Canis lupus familiaris: one gene and its partner. The protein of the gene in region 2 interacts with the protein of the main gene of each other region in a pairwise test. Links are inferred from orthologs where the notes say so. Each region holds a gene or a part of one and is shown on either strand. Other genes may lie near its edges.

Region 1 (4,425 bases), on a different chromosome or scaffold from region 2:
TTCATGATAGACACACAGAGAGAGAGAGGCAGAGACACAGGCAGAGGGAGAGGCAGGCTCATGCCAGGAGCCCGACGTGGGACTCGATCCCAGGACTCCAGGATCACACCCTAGGCCAAAGGCAGGTGCTAAACCGCTGAGCCACCCAGGGATCCCCTGGCCCCAATTTCTTCTCAGGCTCACCCCAGACCTCTCCCCTGCCGCCAGCATATCCTGGGCTCTGACAACCCTCAGCAGTCTGCCATCCTGACAGCCACGCCTTGCACACCGCCATCTCCAAGACTTCTGCCCATAACGCTTTCTCTCTATCTCCCAGCTGAGGAAACATCTCCTCGCCTGCAAGATGCTGGCCCTCTCTCATTCCCTGGACTTTCCCAAGCAACGCAAAGAAGCCCCACCTTCTCCAAGCGACTCACACAGCACTTGTCATGCACGCCGAGATCGTGTGTGTACACACATGTCTGTCCTCCTGCTAGAAGACAAGCTCCTCCAGCTCCTCAAGGAGTGTGTTTTAATCACAGGGCAGGCGTGCTGGCTCTCCGTGGAGGCACGTGAATGACTTCCTCCATCCTCCCAGTAATGTCCCAGTCTATGCAGTTATGAAGGTGGACAGGAACAATCTTAGACCAGACAGGAAGGAAGGAAGGAAGGAAGGAAGGAAGGAAGGAAGGAAGGAAGGAAGGAAGGAAGGAAGGAAGGAAGGAGAGAGGGAGGGAAGGAAGGAAAGAAGGAAGGAGAGGAAGGGAGGGAAGGAGGGAGGGAAGGAGGGAAATAAGGAAGGAGAGGGAGGGAGGGAAAGAGGGAAAGAAGGAAGGAAGGAAGGAAGGAAGGAAGGAAGGAAGGAAGGAAGGAAGGAAGGAAGGAAAAGAAGGAAGGAGGGAGGGAAGGAAGGAAAGAAGGAAGGAGGCAGGGAGGAAAGAATATAGCAAACACTGTACTTCCGGTGCTTTGAAAAAAAACTATCACTCTCAAATTACCCTTATGGAAACCAGTCACTTCTAAGAATCTAATGAAATGTCTTCATCATTCAGTAAATATATACTATACGCATCATTGGTCAGGTATGAGCTGAACATGAGAGAACAGAATGCCAGCATGTCTAGGCCTGTCCCTGGACAAATGCACCAAATGTTCTGCATAAAATTTCAGAAACAACAACCTCCTGAGGTTCATCCTTCAATCCCCAAAGTGCTCTCTCTCATTTGACGATGGTGAGGGTACAAAATGGTATAACCCCTGCGCAGAGGAATTTGGCAGTATCTAGAAAATTACGTAAGTATTTACCCTTTAAACCATTGATCTCACTTGTCGGATCTTAACTTGCAAAAATATGGAGCGATGATATGTGCATGTGGTTATTTTGCTCCATTACTTAGAACAGTCAAACTGGAGCCTCATCCAAAAGCTCATCATTAAGGGACTGATGAGACACAGCAACACGATGGATGACGGTGCATATATATCATATAAAAGGCACGAGGAAGATCTTTAAAATAGGGAGTGATCTCTAGGACACGGTGCAAAGTGAATTAAAAAGGTGCAGAAATTGTTTATAGAGTAAGCCACCTCTTTTGTTGAAAGCAGTGGGGAAAGGAATGTGTGTATGTGTGCCCATAAACGTGGTCATAAAAACTTAAGCTCTGCAAACTGGCACGAATGAACCGAATTCCCTTTCAAGCTGGCGTTGGTGTCTTCACCACACGGAGAGAAGAATTACAGTATCAGCGAGTGTGAGACGCAGCATCCTCACTGTGCTTCTTCGACGCGACACACTCAAAAAGACAAAAATGACGACAGTGACATCTCAATGTCACTTGAAACATAAAAGAAAGAACAGATTCGTGCTGCTGTTCCAGAAGGATAATACTCGGGAAAGGGACCATGTCCCCAAGGGAGAAACTTCTGGGCTAGGAGTAGAATCTGATCCCGAATCCTCCTGGGCACGGGATAGCAGAGCCCAGGAAGCTCCTTACTTGGCTTCCCTGGTTTCCTGTCCACGAAATGGTGATAAAACCCAACTCACAGGTTGTTATTTTTCAGACACACTAACAGGCATCTCATCTCGGCTCCAGGTAAGAAAGGCCTTTCGCAGAGACACGGCTCCCTCAAGCCTGGAGAGGCCGAACAAGAGATACAAAGAGGTCCCTTGCCCAAGCGGGGGGGGGCCGCCCAGCCTGGCGGGAGGGGAGGGGGTTCGGGTGGAGTTGCCCGATGCGGCACAAAATAATACGGATGGGACCCCTGGGTGGCTCAGTGGTGGAGCACCCGCCTTCGGCTCAGGGCGTGACCCTGGGGTCGCGGGATCGAGTCCCGCATCAGACGTTCCTCGGGGAGCCTACTTCTCCCTCGGCCTGTGTCTCTGCCTGTGTCAATCTCATGAATAAATAAATAAAATCTAATATATATACATTATATCCTATATATATATATAGGATGCCCGGGTCAATATGAATTTTGGAGAAACAGGGAGTAACGCTTAGCACAGGGCAGCATAAGCCAGCTGGTTCGTCGTCTACCTGGAGCTCACCTGTGCCGGGCTTTACCTGGCACCCTCCGACCTGGGGAGCCTGCATGGTTTCCCCATCCTGGGTCTGCAGAGGGGTCTCGGGCCTTCCGCGTCCCCTCCCCCTCCGCCCTGCGTGGCCCCGGAGGACCGGGCGGGGCGGGCCCGGAGGCGGCGGCGCTGCCAGGGCGCGGCACTAACCTCTCAGCCGGGCAGCCCGGGCGCCGCCGGGGCCCCTCCCCGCTCACCAGGCCGAGGCCGCACCCGCGGCTGCCGCGGGCCCCCCCAAGCACCCGCCGCGGGGCGGGGCGCTGGGCGTCCGCGCTGGGCATGCGCACACCCGACGCGCGCACCTACCGGCCCCGCGAGGCGCGTCCCGTCGCTAGGCAACGAGCGCGCGCCCCGGACCCAGGTGGCTCCCTGCACGCGGTAGGGGCGCGGGGGGCGGGCGGGCGGCGGGGAGGACCGGGCGCGGGTGTGGCGGGGCCTGCGACCTGCGGGAGGGAGGACGGAGCGGGGCCTGCGACCTGCGGGCAGGGAGGACCGAACCTGCCACCTGCGGGAGAGAGGACGGAGCAGGGCCTGCGGCCTGCGGGCTGGGAGGATGGAGCAGGGCCTAGAACCTGCGGGCTGGGAGGATAGAACGGAGCCGGTGGGCAGGGAGGACGGAGCTGAGCTTGCGACGTGCAGACTGGGAGGATGGAGCCGAGCCTGAGACCTGCGGGCTGGGAGGACGGAGCCTGCAACCTGCGGGAGGGAGGACGGAGCTGAGCTTGCGACCTGCAGGCTGGGAGGATGGAGCCGAGCCTGAGACCTGCAGGCTGGGAGGACGGAGCCAGAGGCGGGCAGGCCCGTGTGCACTGGGAGGGCCGGGGCGGCGGGGTCGTGGGACAGGCCGCAGAGGGCGCCTGCCCACCCAGGCTGGGAAAGTCCCATGGCCCCCTGCCGGCTCCGCACCTTTGCGGTTGCTGGTGACCCCGCCTGGCCCCTCTTGGGACCAGCACAGGTGCTTCTGCCTCCAGAAGGCCCCGCCTCCACCGCAGCAGGTCTTCCCTGACCTAGTGTTTTGTGGACAACCCTCTGCTAGCATTTCCCAGGTTCTGGATTAATCTGTGTTGGGCGGTGCTGGGCAGGAGCGGCCTCAGCCCCGGCGGTTAAGGCCAGGAGTACCAGAGTGGGCGCTGACAGCTGGGAAGGAGCGGAGGCTCTTGCCCTGGCCAGCAAGCCAGAGCCTTCGGAGATTAAGTCAAAAAATACTTGCGAGCACCCACCGTGCGCCTAGCCCTGGGAGTGTGGTGTGGCAAGGCCACCTCTGTGCTTCCCAGCCTGCCTCCTGGGTTGCTAGGCGGTGAACAGGGAGGGCGTGTGAAGGACTCCCAGAGGAGCTCTAGGAAAACTAGGCCCCTCTCCTCTGCTAAATGTGCCCTTCAGTTTGTGGAGAGAGGGCTGCAAAAGGCACCTCTTTGGCCCCTCCCTCTCCTGGCCCTGAGCTGTGGCTCTGTCATTCTGGCTCTCTTGTCTTTGCATCAAGTTTTAGTAAACCGTCAGGCTCCAAAATTCATGGAGACCATGGTTGAAAACGTGCAATTTAGAGCAGATGCTTCCTCCAGAAAGGATTTGCGGCCTACACAGGAGAGCAGGCGCTCAGGGGCTGGAAAGTGGAGAGGCTTGTGGCAGAGTGGGGATTCCGCTCCCTGGGAAGGGCGGTTCTCCTGCCATAAAGGCAAAGTAGATCTTTAACTGAATCACGTGGGGATTTTGTTAAAATGCAGACTCTGACTGTGGAGGTATGGGGTGGGACCTGAGAATGTGCATTTCCACAAGGTAATGCGATGCTGCTCATCAGGGACCACACTTTGAGTGAAAGGGGTGCAGAAGATTGTTCATACCAGTGCACTGGTTCAGGTGGGCCACAGGTTCAC
Region 2 (3,811 bases):
AAATCATCAAACATCAGGGGTGTTTGAGTGGCTCAATAGGTTGGGCATCTGCCTTCTGCTCAGGTCATGGTCTCAGGGTCCCAGGATTGAGCCCCACATTAGGCTCCCTGCTCAGCAGAAAGTCTGTTTCTCCCCGCCCTCATGTACATTCTCTCAAATAAATAAATAAATAAATAAAATTAAAAACAAATTACAGGATCCTGTAAAACAAACATCAAATTGTTATAGCTAGTCTCTTCAGAAACCAAAAAGTTTTACCATGAACCCCCTGCTCCAAATTAATATACAATTCTCACAATACCTAAGAAAATGAATACCTTGTGTAGAGAGCTGAGCAGCTTGAGAAATCAAAGAAGTTATGTTGAAAGCAGATGGTCCAGCAGTAAGAAACTTATGAATTATAGACTGCAATGAGGCTTGTGTCACAGCTGCTGTAAGAACTAAACACATATCTTAAATTAAAATAAAAACATAGTGGCACAGTATGGTATTAGTAACAACTTGAAAACTAAAAAAACCCCAAAGAAACTGCAGTGTTTCAAACTAGAACTCTCAAAATAAAAATCTGTAAGATGGTAATAAAATGGGTCCAGAGATAGGAAATGATCAGAGGTAGAAGAAATTTAATGGTTTTTTTTGTAAAGGAAAACAGTAGTTTTCCTTTGCATTAAAATTTGTGTTCAATTTAAGAAACTCCGGAGACTTTTTAAAAACAGTAAAGAGTGTTCCCTGGAAATTCTGATTATACCAGAAATCTATTCATCAATAGCTAAAGGGCTTTTGTAGGTTACCTGAAATTAAAAAGATAAAGGGTAGTTATTTCATGTGAATGCTTTACTAAACAAGGTGACCATTAAAACCCTACATTAGGGCAGCCCAGGTGGCTCAGCGGTTTAGTGCCTGCCTTCAGCCCAGGGCATGATCCTGGAGACCCGGGATCGAGTCCCATGTCAGGCTCCCTGCATGGAGCCTGCTTCTCCATCTGCCTGTGTCTTTGCCTCTCTTTCTCTCTGTGCCTCTCATGAATAAATAAATAAAATCTTTAAAAATAAAATAAAATAAAACCCTACATTAATACCCACTCCAACAATCTTTTAAAGAACAGACATTAAATAAAAGAAGCTAGGTAATTTAGGAACATCATTTATTTTCAAAGATCCTTTATTATTGACATTTTCTTATGCTATCATCTCTTCAAACTGCATAAAGTCCTACTTTCCCTAGTAAAACATGTACCTATCAAATAGAATGGCACAGTTATCTTAAGAGAATAAAATCAAAATGCAAGAAAGTACAGTAAGAACAAAATTATTGACCAACTAGCGTGAAATAGCTCCATTTTTAAGATAAAGGAAGAACTTAACCATTTAGCACTACTGTTAAATATATTATGTAACAATGTACACATACTGAAATGGACTATTCTAAACAGAAAATTTTAAAATGCTCTTAAGACTGTTTGAATTTGAATAGCTTGTCAATTAAAACTATATCCACTTTTATTCAGACTTCTTTGATGTTGCTAGCTAAATAGCATACTGAAAAGCAAAGTTGGAATTAACAATATGCTAGAATTTAAGTGTTTTTATATCAGTTTTTAGAAATGCTCTTTAATTAAAAAAAAAAAAAGACATTTATTATACACATTAAGCAGACAGAATAGCTTTATCTCCGGTAAATACCGTACACAGCAAGTCTTGAAAAATATACAGAGAAAAAAAAAAAAAGAAAAATATACAGGAAAAATCCAAGTACTACTAACTTAATTACAATACCAAAGGTTTTCAACAACCATGAGGTTATGATATGAATTTCAAAGAATGACGCTCAAATGTGAATTTCAAAATGAAACAAAAGACCACTCCTAAATTGGGGAATTTACTAACGACACGAAGCAAATAATAATAATAAAACTGTTACCAATTTACCTTCATTTATTTTGGATATGTCCACATTAGAATTATTAAGTTGCAGCGTGGCTTGCAAAGCAGGAAGCAGCTGTCTGAGAAGGTTGGGGTCCTGAAGTAATGGAGGTATCGGTGACTGTGGAACAGGAGAAACAGGGATTGCTGACGCAGATGTTGGAGGTGCAGATGTGGGATTCAGTCCAGAGGCAGAGGATGTGGAAGGAGTTGTGCAAGAATGTGATACAGATTTGTCTCCTGGTGCAGACTCTAAGTAAAAAGGAGATAACAAGGCTGAAAAAAAACTACTTGGAGAAAACTAGAACCAACATCGAAAGAGCAACTTTCATGTGCCAAACACCAAAAAAAACTACTTGGAGAAAACTAGAACCAACATCGAAAGAGCAACTTTCATGTGCCAAACACCCAACTCAAGTAATTTCATTCCATCTTCCCAAGGTGACACAGGGAGGGGGCTCAGTAAAGATCTACCTACTTAGAATAATAGGGTTAAGTATTTTTATATCCCAATTTCACAGGTGAGAAAACTAAACAAGAAAGATTATGTAACTTGCTTGAAATCACAAAACTTGGTAAAGCAGTGATTCTGCTATATTCATGTCTGATTCTAAAAGTCTCATGTTCTGTTTACTGGTAATGCTGTTTCAAACACAGTTATGTATTAACTACACGTTCAAATAAGCTTCTATTAAGATAAAGGTACAATACAATTCTCCTGGACTTAATTTAAGGTGAAAATGTTTATGACCACAGTAAGAGCCCTCCAAAACATGACAATGACCAGAAAACAAATCAGGATTTAACACCATGGCGAGCACCTCCAATATAGGCTACAGATCAGAAGAATGAAACTCCAACTTTGAACTTTCATACTTAACAATTGAGTTTCCAGATTACATACTTTCCTTCTATAAATATATCTATTTGTCACATTTAAAACTTATTAGCACTAGAAATGATGCTTTTTTAATAGCAACCCATCCACAATACATATATTCAGTATTTTAAATAAACCAAAAATAAATAAATAAATAAAACATGCACGGAAAATGGTCATTATCTGAAAGCTATAATTGCAAATTACATATATAGAGTCAATGCAATCGCAATCAAAACTCCAAAAGCATTTTTGGCAGTATTTGAGAAGTTGATTCTATTAACTTATTTGAAAAAGGTAAGGGCTAGTACGGCCATGAAGTTCATGAAAAAAAAAAAGAACACAGCTAGTGAAATGTGTCTTGCCAGTATAAAAACTCACAATTGAAAGAAAACCAATATAAGGTCGATTAAACTTCTGTTATGTGTCTTTAGAACTAGAAGATGAAAACAAGAAGGTATCTTTGACATCTAGACGCAGAAAACTACAAAAAGCAAACCAATTACATTCAAAGCACAGATAAGTATTCTAAGGAACTCCTATAATCAGAAAAGACAAACTACACGAAAGAAAAATGAACAAAAGATGAAATAAAGACATTTCCCAGAAGAAACTGGAATGGCTTTACAATTTTTATAATAATACAATGCTTGTTTCTATTTTAGCACAAAACTAGAAACAAACTAAATGTTCACCAACAGAAAGATGAACACTGTACTTTCATACCATGGAATATTACTAATATAATAACTTTAAAGAAAGAAAAAAAGAGGAACAGAGGACCTCTGGATAAAAATATTAAAACAACTAATCAAGATGTTCATGCATATGCTTACAATACTGGCCTAAATATGAAGATTTGCTAAAAATCTTTAATTTTCCATACACACCTATTTCTTGAAGATTTTCAAGTTTGTGTGTGTGTATATATATATATATATATATATATATATATATCCCAAATTAAGACTATTATATGATGTATAAAAGTTGCAGGAATACTGCATCT

Evidence for each region.
Region 1: the proteins of WW domain-containing adapter protein with coiled-coil (region 2) and DYDC1 interact in binary tests that used the Homo sapiens proteins (3 or more experiments, as listed by UniProt). The two-hybrid records come from large-scale screens. The link is inferred for Canis lupus familiaris from reciprocal best matches to the Homo sapiens genes WAC and DYDC1.

Annotation. Positions count from the first base shown.
Region 1 is NC_049225.1:30,231,432-30,235,856, forward strand, and holds the start of DYDC1 (DPY30 domain-containing protein 1), read right to left. Parts: upstream 2,877-4,425; 5' UTR 2,861-2,876; exon of another isoform or gene 2,705-2,860; intron 2,680-2,704; exon of another isoform or gene 2,528-2,679; intron 558-2,527; exon of another isoform or gene 417-557; intron 1-416. UniProt on the Homo sapiens protein: Functions as part of axonemal radial spoke complexes that play an important part in the motility of sperm and cilia. Plays a crucial role during acrosome biogenesis.
Region 2 is NC_049223.1:15,363,717-15,367,527, forward strand, and holds part of WW domain-containing adapter protein with coiled-coil, read right to left. Parts: intron 2,175-3,811; coding exon 1,929-2,174; intron 441-1,928; coding exon 318-440; intron 1-317.